Linked DNA regions of Notamacropus eugenii. The protein of the gene in region 1 purifies or fractionates together with the protein of each later gene. This does not show direct contact. Links are inferred from orthologs where the notes say so. Each region holds a gene or a part of one and is shown on either strand. Other genes may lie near its edges.

What was found.
Region 2: the proteins of PRPF8 (region 1) and SF3A2 purify together in Homo sapiens (affinity purification with mass spectrometry; 3 studies listed by BioGRID and IntAct, with this or other methods). This does not show direct contact. The link is inferred for Notamacropus eugenii from reciprocal best matches to the Homo sapiens genes PRPF8 and SF3A2.

The regions. Positions count from the first base shown.
Region 1 is NC_092873.1:39,717,311-39,724,417, forward strand, and holds the start of PRPF8 (pre-mRNA-processing-splicing factor 8), read right to left. Parts: upstream 3,016-7,107; 5' UTR 2,922-3,015; intron 2,090-2,921; 5' UTR 2,079-2,089; coding exon 1,979-2,078; intron 1,749-1,978; coding exon 1,580-1,748; intron 888-1,579; coding exon 723-887; intron 637-722; coding exon 418-636; intron 263-417; coding exon 50-262; intron 1-49. UniProt on the Homo sapiens protein: Plays a role in pre-mRNA splicing as core component of precatalytic, catalytic and postcatalytic spliceosomal complexes, both of the predominant U2-type spliceosome and the minor U12-type spliceosome.
Region 2 is NC_092875.1:64,094,162-64,101,930, forward strand, and holds the start of SF3A2 (splicing factor 3A subunit 2), read right to left. Parts: upstream 3,010-7,769; 5' UTR 2,755-3,009; intron 2,319-2,754; coding exon of another isoform or gene 2,225-2,318; exon of another isoform or gene 2,057-2,224; intron 2,024-2,056; exon of another isoform or gene 1,803-2,023; intron 1,572-1,802; exon of another isoform or gene 841-1,571; intron 1-840. Other genes in the region: PLEKHJ1 (pleckstrin homology domain-containing family J member 1), read left to right, coding at 2,225-2,318, 4,395-4,462. UniProt on the Homo sapiens protein: Component of the 17S U2 SnRNP complex of the spliceosome, a large ribonucleoprotein complex that removes introns from transcribed pre-mRNAs.

The sequences.
Region 1 (7,107 bases):
CTGACCCAAACCAGGGACCCTGCAAGCCCTTCTTTTTAAGGACACTTACTGAAGATTGATGTCTCGGACCAGTGGTTCAAATTTTGGGCCCCCTGGGATGGCCATGTTGAGGGCCTTTGAGGTGAAAAAGGCCTTCAGGTCAAATAGATAGAAGTAGTTGTCATCCACAAGGTCAGTTAGGAGTTGATTGGCCAGGCGGTAAAGAGTAGACATCATGGGTAAAGTGAATTGCCAGCGCTGATAAGTGGAGCCATTCACGTACCTGGAAACAAGGGGGGCAAAAGTGGGAAACCAATAGCAGCTACTCAGGCCATAGCATTCATTCCTAAAGCCAATCTCTCTTCGACAGACCCAAAGAGGACCAACAACTCCTGCCAGCTGAGTCTGGTCTATTGATCTGAGCCTGTGGGAACTCACTTCCTGCTGTCTCTTAGGGGCTGGTGGTCATAAAACCAGTCGAGCACAGGGGCATCTTCCTCAGGGTCCAGTTCCAGCTGAATGGCTTCCAAAGGCTCCACATCTAGGATGTTGTCAGCATAGTCAAGGGGTGGCTCCTCATCATCAAATGGGGGGAAACGCATGCGCTTGAAGTGCCGTCTGTCCCTCTTCTCTCGGCGCATCATGATCCACATGGACCTGGGGTGAGCCACATCACAATCAGAATCCCAGAAGAGAACAAAGAGACAACCTCTAGAACCCAAGCATCCCCCAGTCTTCCTTACCCCCACTGAGAGATGTAGACAGGCTCAATGACCCAAGGAATCTCATTGACAAAGGAAATAGCTCCAGTGATGTGGTAGAGAACAGGCACATCCCGAATCTGCTCCCAGGGCATGGGCATGTTTTCCAAGAGCTTGAGGACAGCATGAGGCATATACTTCAGGGCACTGTGGCATTGGGTAATCAGAGGGTGACAGAAAATCAGTACTCCCATGATGCTCTCTGTTCCCTATCCCAAATACTACACTGTTCCATGCAAGTCATATTTTTCCAGAAATCAATTGCCCTGGCAACTCCAAAACTCCCATGGCTAGGTGATCACACTGTCAGTTTCTCTGTTTCTTAGTGGAGGCAGTGATTTGTTAAAGTTTTGGTCCCTCCACCCATCCAGCCTCCAGCTTAGAGTTCAGAAGCAGAGAAGGTAAAAGGAACAAGAGAACTTGAGGCAACCAGCTTTACTGTTTCTATGTTCTGGATACCTTAAAAGAATTCATACTTTCGGGTATGCCAGAACAGAGGAGAACTCTGGGCCTAAAATGACAGAAAAAATTCATGCAACAATGCAACTACAGAATGTAAATTTTTGGGTTTGCTGGAGCTCCCTCCCTCAAAGGGCATTAAGAATGGCACTACTCATACAAGTGTTATCCAGAAGGGTTGTCCAGGACTCCAATCTACAGTCAGAAAGGAGGGCAGCAATCACGGGCAGAAATAAAAATATCAAACAGCCTGGGGATACAATCACAGTTTTATGAGGACAATGATCCAACCAAGCCCAAACTGGCAGCTGCTTGGGACTCTCAGGGAATAACAATCTTTCTGCTTTTTTCACATCTCTCTAAGCCCTGGATCTCCTCACCCCAGGTAGACTCGCTTGTCATGACGGAACTTCCGGTTGGTCATGTCCCCATGGTCACGGATGATCTTCCTGACATGCTCTGGAGGCATGTCTTCCTTCTGTGCATCTACAAATCCGAATTTCCGCTTCTCTGCATAGCGTTTTGCCTGCAACTGCTGCCATTTTCGGGCTGGAGAGGAAACCCAGACTGTATCACTGTCTACCCCATGTGAGCATCCCCAGTCCCAAGGTGCCACTCCTAAATGCTTTCCCGATAGGTCTGCAGAGAATGCTTTCTTTCACAAGAATGAGAGCAACAGGCCAGAACCTGAATTCTCAGGGAATACTGAGGGAGCGTGCCCAGGGGACCTGATCCAAGCAGCACCCCACTTCCCAGCCTAATTCTCCCAGACCTCTCACCTTTCTCCTGAAGCTTCTCCTCTGACATGTAGTCGGGCAGTGGTGCCAGAGGGCCGGGCACAGGGGTACCCGGCCCTCTGTAGGGAAACACTCCGGCCATGTCCGGAGAACCTGGGGAATAGTAATGGAACTCAGTAAAGTCTCTCTAAATGACCACAAAGGAGGGTAAGGGCAATCTGGAAACTCTCTAGGGCCTTTCCGCAACCATGCCCAGGTCTCTACACTCATATTAACATGAATGCGACCCCCTGGTCTTCCCTGCCACCCCTCCTCTCACTCCTGTGCCTTCCCCGCCTCCCTCCCCCATTCCTGACCCCTTGGCTGTGTCCACCCGCAGTGGGAGCCTGGGTCGTGGCTCGATCGCCCTCCCCAAGCTTCCCCTCCCATCCCCCCATCGCTAGACCTCCTGGCTGGCCCTCTTGCATCGTCCCCTTCACGGACCTCGGGTCCGCACCTCTGGGTGCGCTCGGCAGCTCCCCTACCGTCCTCAGGGCCCCCCCACCCCCCAAGGCCTTCATCAGCACCGCCTGCAGCGCTCAAGGGAGCCCGGCCTACCCCCAAGGGGCTTCTCCCTTAGACTGCCCCTCACCACGACCCTGCTCCCTTCACCCGGACAGCCTCGACTCCATACGTTCCCTCCCACTGCACATGCGCCCCATTCTACCCCTTTCACCCTGATATCCCCTTCTAGCCTCGTTCAGGGGCCTTGCTTCATTGCGCATGCCTACTGCGCATCCCTTCCCAGATGCTCGGCCCCGCGCGCTCCCGCCACCTCATTGCGCATGCGTTGCTCCCTCCCTCACACTGCAGCCACTTCCCCCAGCATCACCCCCCCCCCCGCCCCCTCCATTTCTCCTTCACCTCTTTGTACCAACCATCCCTTCCCGCGCGCCCCTGTCCTGACCAGCCATGCGCCATCAGCCCTTTACTCCCCTTTGCTTACCCCACAGCACCCGGCAGTCACTTTGCAGTTTCTACGAAAACGCAATGGCGGCAATCCCACGTCCGCCTCACGTTCCCAACGCCCGGAAATGCGCAAGGAGCTACCGAGGAGGGGGTGGGGGGGAAAGAAACTAGTATCCAATCGGTGTCGGTCGAAGAAGATGGAGGTTGGTCATAGCCAATAGTCGCCAAGCATCCGGATGAAGGAGGCGGGTCGAGACGTTAGAGTGGCTTGGCCCCAGAAAGGGGGCGGGAAGCTCTGAGGATAAGCCCCGCCTTCCCCACGCTCGCGCTCTCCCAGCTCGGAGAAGCTCTGGCCCCGCCCCGATCTTTGAGGTGGCCCTGAACAGCGGCTTTCATGCAAATATGTAGGTATTACACTGATTTGCATAATTTATGCAAATGAAACGTATGCAAAGGTTTTTTGATTCCTCCAGACCCGTAGTCAGAACCCTAAAGCTGGCCATAGGGCTGACCGTGGACCTCAGAAGACCTGGGTCCAATTCCTTAGTGCCCCTGGACCAGGTGCGGATCCGGCCAGGTACCTTGAGTTTACCTGGTTAGGAAATCACAGGTCCCACTCAACAAACCAAAGCAGCCACCCTGAGGATAATAAATAGAAACTGTGATGATGAGGATGAAAAGGATGGAGCAATCGGGAATGTGCCTGCGCTTTAAGGTTTGGCAAGGGCATTATCGCTTTAGAACCTCAACACCCAGGCGAGGTAGGAACTGTGGACTTCGTTATCCCAGTTTTAAAGCTGGGGAAACTGAGGCTCAAGGTGACCTGCCCGTAGGAGCACGCTTGGTGAGTGTAGACTGTCTCTTGTCTCCATGGCTGCCTCTCCCGGTGTCTCCGGGCTTTCTCTTTTCTCCATGTCCTGATTTTCATTTCTCCCAGGGACGCATGGTAGACACAGATCTACTTGTTCCAGCTCTCTGGAGTCCCAGCTCTCCCAGTAGCTAGTTTCTTCTTGTGTAAAATAATAATATAGCTCCTCTATAAGGTTTCCAGAACCCTTTTCTCACAGTAATCAAACTACCAACAAGTATTTAAGTTAAAACAGCAAGACCTGAAGTCAGGAAAACTGGAGTTCAAACCTGGACAAGTCACTTAAATTTTTGTTTGCCTCACTTCCCTCATCTGTAAAATGGAAGTCATAACAGCACCTACCTCCCAGAGTTGATATGATGATCAGATGAATTAATATGGGTAAAGCAGTTTGCAGACCTTCAGATGCTGTATGAATGCTGACTACCCTGATTACTTAGCCAAGTACTGGGCAATTCTATCAAGGGTGACCACGTACACCTATATAAGCACATATAGAATATATACAACCATGCAGGGTGGTTTAAGGAATGACCCCACTAGAGAGATCAGGAAATGCTTCTTGTTGAAGGAGCTGTTGCTTGAGTTTCATCTGGAAGGAACTGGGGTTCTAGGAGCTAGGAATGCGCAATGAGTAGGCAAGGAGGGATAGTTTGTACAGAGACCAGAGATGGAACATCATAAGTGAGTGGGGAGAGTTGGGACTAGATCCCTTGTGGCTCTGACATTCTATGACTGTTTCATGGGGTCGGAGGTGTATGGGGTATTCAGGAGGATGAGCACCTGTGGTGGCAGGGCTTACTAACCACTTTTCAGGGCTGGATAAAGTTTCAGTAGACAGGCTAAACCAGATTGAGGGTAACTGACAGACCTCAAACCTGTCAATGAATTAGGAGGATGTTTAGCCCAAGCTTGTGAAAACTATCTCTGGAGGAATGGGTAGATGAGAACAATTTGTTCCAACAGCCATGAAGGTGGCTGAAGTATACAATGTGGAGGGCTTAGAGTTTGGTCAGACATCAAAGACGCCAACGTCATCCTGGATCATCCCCAGTCGTTCAGACTTTTGTTTTGCCACTGGACTTGGATGACTCTGGGAGAGTGAGGCTGGTGACTTTATGCAATTCAGCCTCACTTAAATTCTGTTCATGAATAAGTCAAGACTCTTCAAAACTGAAGGATTAACACCAACATTGGGTCAGGGAACTTAGAGCTGGTACCTGTTATATTAAAAAAAAAATAGCATTCATGATTCCATTTTTTCCCTTACCCACCATTTTGTGAAGCTAAAGTTTCAGCTGTTTGTAAAGTCACATTCTGGATTTTGAAGAAGTCACAAGATTTCTCCCTCTCCCAAAGGTCCCCCAACTTAAGAAATATCACAAAACTCCCCTTCTCCCTCTCACCTCAGTGTCTCCTGATATCCTTATTACATTTGGAAATAAAGGTAAACTGAGAGATAAGATTCCCAACATCACCAATTTATTAGGGTAACAGCATCCAATACATTGAATCAATGGCCTCTCAATAACCAAAGACCCCTAGGTAGGGCTTGCCAGCCTTCATTTAGTTTGGAGAAGTACAGCATTGGGTAGTTGGGGAAGACAATGTGATTGGTTACTGATAAACAGCCTTGTGGCCATGGAGACAACATGAGAGACTGTATCAAGGAAATCAGGCTAGCATTTATGTGGGACTAGTAGCCACCCCTTTCAAACAATTGAGGAATGTTAAATGTTTTATGGGACCCCTCCCCATCTTATAATCTTTGCTAAGGGATCAAAGCTACCAATGAGCATTTAGGGTTAGGGTTGCTAACTCCTTGGAAGAGACAAAACTCTCCTAATTGTTCAAGGAAAGGCAAGGACAGATGACACATCTTTTGAGGATGGTACCAAGTTAACTTGTGAAGCTTAAAGATAACAAACAGATGTCCTGGATGTCCTGGAAGTATCCTAAGGTCTACCAGTATGAAAGATGACAACTTTTCTTTTAATTATAACTTTAAAGTGACTCAGAGGGAAATCAGAATTCCTCAGCTCATCTCAAGGACCTAGGTGGCTTTAGGCAGATGCAGACTCAATTGTAAAAATCAATACAGTATAGAATCAGTTACAAGGTGGAATTAATTTGAATTTCTCACTCTCTACTAGTAAGAAACCAGATGTCTTAATCCCAATAATCCTATTTTTCATTTTTTCCACTCTGTTCAAATTGTATATTAACTTCATAGAAACCAAACCTAGGGGTCCTTGGTTTACCTAGAGTCTTGGACCCGGTTTGTTTTGCAATCCCATGCATTGCTAAATAAATAAACCATTTGTCCGGATGAACCTCAGTTTCTTTTTTTTCCCACCTAATATACCTTCATCCTAATTTAAAAAAAAATAACTGTGCTAAATGCAGAGTAGAGATTTAGTAGGCTGGTCAAGAGGCAGAGACAGAAAGACTAAAGGGAAGAAGAAGAAAATGGAAAGCAAGAAATAAGAGAAGAAACAAAGTCAGAGAGAGCATCACGAGAAGCACCCACATACATGCATATGGACACGGCCAGGATTCTGGTGGGACATTTAGTTTAAGTGGGATTCTGTTTTAATGAAAAGATGAGAAAAAAATCTCTACTCCACATTTCCCACTATTCTAGGTGCACTGGGGGATGCCAAAGGGAAAAGAAAGGGAATAAGCACATTTATGTAGCACCTACTGTGTGCCAAGTGCTAAACTAAACTACACTGGCTGTTAGGTGTTGCGCAATTATTATTTCATTTGATCCTCAGAACAACCCTAGGAGGTAAATGCTGCTATCATCCCCTTTTTTCAGATGAGGAAACTGAAGCCAACAGAGGATAAGTGACCTACCCAGGGTCACACAGCTGGGTAAGTGTCTGAGGCTGAATTTGAGCCCAGGTCTTCCTGACTTCCAGCCCAGTGCTCCATGCACTATGGCACCCCCTAGTGACCAACAACATGCAAGTCATAATCACTGCCTGCAAGGAGCTAACAGTTTACTCGGGAAGAATTCATCCTTCAGGATCCATCTGCAAAATGAGTCAGAGAGTATTGTAATGAAAGGTGTGCTTTATAAAGTGTTTTATGAAGATTAATTGGGGGGGGGGTGGTAGAATTAATAAGGTGGTTGTGTAGCAATAACACTCTCTCAATTGTTAAATGCTCATTATGTGCCAGGCACTGGGCTAATCACTAGGCATGCAAAAAGAAGCAAAAGACAATCCCTGCCCTTAAGGGAGAGAAAACGTGCACACAAATACATAGAAAGCAAGTTATACATAGGATAAAAAGGAAATAATGAAAAGAGGGAAAGCCCTGGAAGGAAGAGAGGTTGGTTAAGGCTTAC
Region 2 (7,769 bases), on another chromosome or scaffold:
GAAAGAGCACCGTGTCCTTAAAAGTAATGTACCTGGAAAGTTTAGAAAGAATAAAGGTTTTAGGGGAAAGATAATGAGTTAAGTTTTGGACATACTGAGTTTAAGATATCTAAGGGACATCCAGTTTGAGATGTCTGTTAGGCAGTCAGAGATCCCAGTTTGGAAATTAGAAGATAACTGGCTATCTAGGAACTGATGAAATAGTACAGAGAAACAGAAGAGGGCCCAGCAGAGGCTTACAGGACATCTCAGGGGCATGAGCTAAACAAAAATTCAGTAAAGAAGACTGAGGTAGTCACACAGATAGGAGAACCAGGACAGAGCAGAGTAACAAGAAATCTGGAGAAGAGTATTAAGAAGAAAGTTTATCAAAGGCTACAGAGAAGTCAAGAAGGATGAAGATTGAGAAAAAGCCATTAGATCCTACAGTTAAGAAATAATTAGTAATATAGCTAGCTAGCATTTATATATAGCTTGAAGATTTGCAAAGGTGCTCTACAAGTACCTTATTTTGCAAGAACCTAAAACATTCCCATGGACTCTTGAGGCAAAATGCCTTCCACATGCAGAAAAAGAACTATGGAACAGGATCACAGAATGAAGCAGAATATTTTCTCTTCTGTTATGTTTTGGTTTTTCTCACGGTTTCTCCCATTCATTTTAATTCTTCTATGCAACATGACTAAGGTGAAAACGCATTTCATAAAAATGTATGTGTAAAACCCATATAAGATTGCGCACAGTCTCGGGGAGGGAGTGGAGAGAGAGGGGGAAGAAATCTAAGATTTATGGAAGTGATTGTAGAAAACTGAAACAAAGTAATTTAAAAAAACCAAGTACCTTATTTTATCTTCAAACCAACCCTGGGAGATAGGCAGTTTTATACTCCCCATTAAGGCAGGCAGAGAGATGAATTAACTTGTACACACAGCTATTAAGATTCTGAGGTTAGGTCTGAATCAGGTCTTGCTCATTTCCAGGGTCCAGCGCTCTATCCACTGCGCCTCCTGACTTTCCAGGAGCAGTTTCGGTTGAATGAGGTAGGAGGGAGTGCACTTCAGGTACGAAGATGGCTAATACAAAGGCCTTACACATGAAAAGGAGCAAGGACCACAGCGAGTGAGGCTGGAAGGACCAAGCGAGGGCTGGTGGTGAAGGAGCCGCGCCTGGGGCTGAGGCGGAAGCCCACTTCCCGGTGTTCGGGTCCCAGCCCGCTCCAATCACTTCTCTTTTGGTAAGGACGCGATCAGACTTTCCATTTGAGAAGCCATCAGAAAACCAACTAAGTGAGGGGGAACAAAGGGAAATCCTTGTTCTGTGTGCAAGGTGCTGCAAATACACCCCAGGTAAGAACTACCCTCGGGGAACTCGCTCAGTACTGGAGGACTCCAACACACCAACATGGCACACGCAAGTGGGTCTCCGACAAGGGAGGTCTACTCACACGGAGAAGTCCGTTCACAGTGGGCCTCCCACCGGCCCGGCCCAAGCTCCGGGGCTCACTTGACCCCTTCACCAGGCTGACCCTCCGCACCGCGGTCCAGTCCCGGGGCCCGCCCCGCTCCCCACCCTCCCTCCTCCGCGCGCCCCCGGCCCCGGGCGCGCCCCGCCCCCCACCGCCGGCGCGAGGCCCGACCCACACACGAAGCGACCCAGGCCTCAGGCCTCGCGGCCGCTTTCTTCTCCTCGTCCCCCTCCTCCTTCCCTCGCTCCTGGGGAGAGCTCCTCCTCCTCGTCGCGAGCCCCGTCCTCCCCCGCTTCCCCCCAAAACTCAAGGCGTCCGTTTCCGCCTCCTCACCGACCTCCTCACAGAAACAACAGGCGCCTCCCGGCGCTAGCGCCACGAGCCGCTCCGCCGTTATCTTCTTCGCCAGCTCGTCTTACCGACCCTCCGCGCATGCGCGCCACCGCGCCAGCTTCGATCTGCGCACGCGCGCGGCGGGGAAGCCCTCGCAAACTTTATTGACTTTGCCAGGGGAGACGCACCGAACTCAGCCATCAACAAAACTTTATTGCGCGCCGCGGGGGCGCGCTCTGCGGAAAAACTTTATTGGGGCCGCTGGCGGCGAACACGGACAAAACGGAGCCCTAAGGGCGGGGAGGAAGGGAGGAGCGGAGTGGGGAGCGGCGCGGCTGGGCCTGGCGGGCCGCCGGAGGCCGGAGCCGCAGCCCAAGCAGGTTCCCGACTTGGCCGCGGGGCCTCCCACCTCCCTTCGTCGTCAGGATGCGGTACAACGAGAAGGAGCTCCAGGCGCTGTCCCGGCAGCCGGCGGAGAAGGCGGCGGAGATCGGGATGCGGGTCCCCAAGAAGGGCAGCGGTGAGAGCCGAGGGGAGGCCGGCCTGCCTAACCCCCCCCGTCTATGACCCCCCCCAGGATCTCCCTCAGCCCCCCTCACTGAGCCCTCCGCACTCCCCGGGGTCACCCCTGCGTTCAGAGCCTTCCAGACTACCAGCCTTAGCACTCCCTGAATCCCTCCTGTCCGACCCCCCGCTGAGCCCCCCAGGGACACCCCGCGAGTCACCAGGCTGAGCCACCCTGACAGTCCCCTCCCCAGCTTCAGCCCCACCAATGAGCAAACCTGCCAGCCCCTCCTCCAGCCCCCCCAGTCCTGCCAGGGTCCTGTCCATGGTCACAACCTACGGCGCCCCCACTCTGCACCCCCGTGTACATTCTCCCGAGATCCCACGCCCTGTCCCCAAGCCCACTCCACCTCCATCACCTCCCAGGCTCTTCAGCGGAGTCCTGAGGTTACCTCGCAGCGTGTACACAGCCTGTCCCCTCCATCATCCTGTGTGAGGTTCCCAGGATCATACCCCACTGTGCACAGCTTCTCACACTTCCCCAAAGAACTCCTCCCGAACCCCTCCTTCTCTGCTCCAGTGCTACACCACACAGGTCCTCCCATGAATTTCTGTTCCCTAAGTCCTTGAAGTCCTGGGTTCAAATACTGACTGATGTTTGGGCCCCCGGCCCAAGAGTTACTTAACCGTTTAGTTCCCTCCTCTGTAAAACTAAGGCATCACAGGAGAGAGTCTGAGGTTCCTCCTTGCTCTAAATCATTGATCTTGTTCATCTGACTTGCTCCTCCTTTAAACTATTAGCCCCCACCCCCTTTCCCTTCTGAATCCAGAAAAGTTACCCCAGCTTGTATACAGCGTTCTAAGCTCCCAAGTTCTTGCAAAGAAAAATCCCCACCTTGATCTAACCTTTCTGGTTAAACTACTCATGAAGCTGTAAAAATGGAATATAAACATTTGTGGGGAAAAATAATGGCTCCTGAGCTGGCTTTGCAAACACTACCACCACACCTTAAACAAACAGAAATAATGTCACTACCCTCCTAGGTGGCCCTGTAGACAGAGCACTGCACTCTGAATCAGGTGGCAGGAAGACTCATCTTTATGATGATGTCCAGCCTCGGCACTTACTAGCAGTGTGACCCTGGGCAAGTCACTTACCCCTGTCTGCTTCAGTTTCCTCATCTATAAAATGAGCTGGAGAAGGAAATGGCAAACCAGTCCAGTGTCTTTGCCAGGAAAACCCCAGATGGGGTCATGGAGAGTTGGACATGACTGAAATGACTCGACAGAGGAGCAGCAAGAGCCTTCTAGAGCCACAGTCCTAAACAGGTTTCCTTCTTGGAGGTCTGAACCTCCAAGCTCAGCAATCCCCAGACAGAATCTTCCTGTGTAACCTCTCCTTAGGCTCCTCCAAGCCCTCTGCCCCAGAGCCTCCTTGTCTGGCCTCTATACAAGACTCTCCCACCTCAGCCCTTCCAGAGAGAATCCTCTCTCCCAGTCCTTCCTTGGCCCTGTCTTCCCACCGTCCATCCTACTCCACCCAAGGCGGCCTTCTCAGATGGTCCTGCTCCCAACTCTGCCTGGGAATGGGGCTTCTCTTTCTGGAGGGTATTTTTCCTTGGTCTGGATCTTGTCATTACTGATGAGGCTACAGGGGGAGCTGGGACTCAAGGAACTCCCCCGGGTGACTAAGAAGAATCAAGTCAACCCCTAAAATAGCTGTTTTTGGCCCTGCACAGATACTACAGAGTGGTGCTTCCCTCTTTGGAAAGAGAGGAGGGTGTGGTAGGACAGGAATTTGGATTTTTGGATTTTCTCCATGGCATTCCACCTTGTTTTACTTTCCTGTTCTGCCATCCAATCTCCTTAAACTAGTTCAGACTCTGCCCTCCAAGAGGCTTTGTGTTTTTCCCAAAGTTTAAAGGTTAGGGAAATTCTAGTAAAGGATACTGTCATATTTAGGAGGAACCTGAGGACAGGGTAGAAAGGCTGAGGGGAGAAGCCTGGTCTCACCTGGGCTCTGGGCAGGGGTTCTCTGGGATTTCCCTGCAAGTGCCCAACTTCCACATTGTTTTTTGATCTCTCCCCCCAGTGGTGAAACGGAGGCTCGTGAAACTGGTGGTGAATTTCCTCTTTTATTTCCGGACAGATGAAGCAGAGGTAGGAGGATCCTGGGACACAGTCTGTGATAATATAGAATCTCTTCTAAGGAATTTCCCATCCAATATAGCACCATGGAGTTTCTAAGTAGGGGAGACCTTTGTACCTAGAATATTTTGATCTGGAAGAAATCTTAGCAATACTATAGTCTGATTCACAGTGTCAAATATTCGACCCACCACACTCCCGAGTATGGCCCCCTCCAGATTAAAATATAATTGGGAAATATTGAACAAAATAAATAAAAATACAATAGAACATAGATAATGTTACTATATGGTTTTTTAAGTCAATATTTGACCCAGATAGTTTCTTAGGTATGCTATTTCTACTTGAGTTTGACACCATTGGTTAAACCCCAGGAGGTCTTTGATAGATAAGGAAACGGGCAAGAAAGAGTGACTTTCCCAGTGTCACCCATTGAGACAGAGATTGAGCTGGAACATGATCCCAGGTCAGGGCTTTTCCCACCACTGGCTCTTACCACCCACCCTGGTTATTGTATCACAACACAACCAGGGGAACAGGAAGCTTCAGTCCCCAGACGTTACATGACAGGCTTAAAATGTCACAGCCCAGCCATGGCAGAACAAGGACCATCAGCCAACAGGGATTTATCTGCTCAGTGACAGGTACTTAGGCTACAAGGACAGTGAAGGAGACAGCAGCTTGGATTCTGGTGGGGGAGACAAAAAAGTACGTTTGAAATAGAACATGAATAAATGCAAACATATGTCAGATAGTCAATGCACAGTGGTTTGGAGGGAAGTCCCTGGCAAAGGCTTCATGCAGAAGATGGTGATTGAGCTGCATTTTAAGGAAGACAGGGACTCTCCTGGGGCCAGGATGAGGGAGTACATTCCAAGCATGGGGGGGCTTCCAGTGCAAAGGCATGGAGACTGGAGATACAGAAATGTGGAGAACAGATAGTGATCCATAGTGGCTAAATCACAAGAGTGTGGAAAGGAGAGTCATGTGCAACAAAACTGAAAATATAGAATGGAACCAGGTCGGATAGGGCTTTAGAAGTTGAACAAAGGAGTTTATGTCGAACGATAAGGCCACTAGAAGTGGTGAAATAGGGGAATCACACTGGCATTTGAGGAGAATTACACTGGCAAACAGTGTAGAGGGCACACTGTACTGGGGAGTGGTTGGAGGCACAGAATCCAATTTGGAACTGTTTTAATAATTCTGGAGATAATGACAGCCTAAATGAAGGGGGTAGGTTATGAGTAGAGAGAAGGGGTCAGAAAGGAAAGATGTTGTGAAGATAGAAAGGGCAAACTCTGGTGACTGATTAAATATGTGAGATGAGGAGTGAAGAGTCCAGGAGGCTGCTGGGAGACTGGAAGGTTGATGGTACGTTCCACAGACATAGGGAAGGTTTATGACAGGGGTGGGGAACCTTTGGCCTTAAGGCCACATCTGGCTAATTCCTAAGGGGATTTGTCTGTGAAGTTTGGACTCAGTCAAAAGGTCACCCTCAAGGACCTAGAAGGCCACATGTGGCTATAGGCCAAAAGTTCCCCACCCCTGGTTTAGGGCAAGGAGTTCTTGACATTTTTTGTGTTATGGATCCCTTAGAATAATGTTTTTAAGTGCATAATGTAAAATAACAAGATTGCAAAAGAAATCAGCTATAATAGTAAGTTATCAAAATATTAAAAAAAAAGTTCACAGACTCCAGGTTAAGAATCCCTTGTGTGGGGAAAAGATGATGCGTTCAGTTTTAGACCTGCTGGGGTGAAGCTATCCTGGGCATTAGGCAATTGGTAATATGTGAAGCTTGGGAGACATTGGGGCTGATGTATATAGGTGGGAGCCATCTTCAGAATGATGGTAATTAAACCATCTGATAAAGGAGCTAAACACCCACACACTTGGGGGTGTGATATGGATGACAAGCCAACTAAGGAAACTGAGAAGGAGGGGTCAGACAGGTAGGAGGCAAGTCGGGAGTGTTGGGAATATCCAGGAAGAAGGGGTGGTGAGCAGTGTCACATGCAGTAGACGGGTCAAGAAGGATGAGGACAAAGAAAAGAAAATGAAGGGGTCACGGTCCCAGAGTGAGCATCTATGAACAGATAAACAAGTACATAGTTCTTTCTGACTCCACTGTGCTTCGGATATATATTATTTGCCATAGGCAGCCCCTCGTGGAAAGAGCCCTGGAACAGGCTCATAGCACATATGGGAGCCAGAAGAGATCTGAGAAGTCACCTGTTCCAGACCCCTAATTCTTCTGATGAAGAGAGTGAGCCAGAGAGGTTAAGCCACCAGAGAGTAAAGGTCTGAGGCAGGATCGGGCCAAGGCTACACCTTGGAGGCCAACCCAGCCCTTTTCACTGCCTTGGGACTTGCTCTGAGCCCCCATCCCACACAGGCTTCTTTTCTCAGAAGAAATGAGCTTGCAATGAAGTGTGCCATATTCTTCAGGCCTGTGATTATCTGTGCATCCCTGCATCCAGGGATCCTAATTTCCCCGGTTTAGAGCAGGAAGGGGCCTCAAGAGGGCCCAGCACAGTCAGGTGACTTCCCACAGAGGCTATCTCAGGTGACAGAATCAGGATTTGAACCTGGGGCCTCTCCCTCCAGATGGAGTGTGGCATTGTAGCAGCACTGGTTTGGAGGAAAATGAATCTCCCTTCAGGGATTGTGTCCTGGTCTTGTAGGGAGCCACTAGTGACGTGAGACTCACTCTGCTCAAGCCCTCTTTCCTGTTACCCCAGGCTGCCTCATGACAGGGTCTGAAGGGGGCAGAAAGGAGTCACTGGCAGGTGGGGATGATGAACTCAATTCTATTTATACCATCATGATGGGGGGGCATTTCCTGGAGGTTCTACCCAGAAAATTTCAAACCTGGGGGGACTTTTAAGGATGGGTAAATAGGTGAAGCAAAAGGAAATGATTGGCCCAAGGCCCCAGAGCAAGATGAGGGCAGTTCTGGAGCTTTCTCCCTGATCCGTGGCTTCCTTTGAATTTGCTGCATCCCAGCATTCTTGATGAGTCACAGGGTCCATCCAGCTTCACCTCTCGACTTCCATCCTCCCTTCCTTAGGGAAGTGGCCCCTGGAGGATAGACCTGGTACAGAGAGGCCCAAGTCAGTTAGTAATCTACAAGCCTGCTATGTTCTGGGTGCCAGTTGTCAATGGTGTGGCAAAAAGCACACTGATTTTAGACCTGCAAGTCCTAAGTTTCAATCCTAAGTCTGTTACCTGCCAGCTGATTAACCCTTTACAAAGCTCTGGAGAGTTTCCTCTTCTGAAAAATGAGCAGTTTGGGCTAGATGACCTCCAAGGTCCC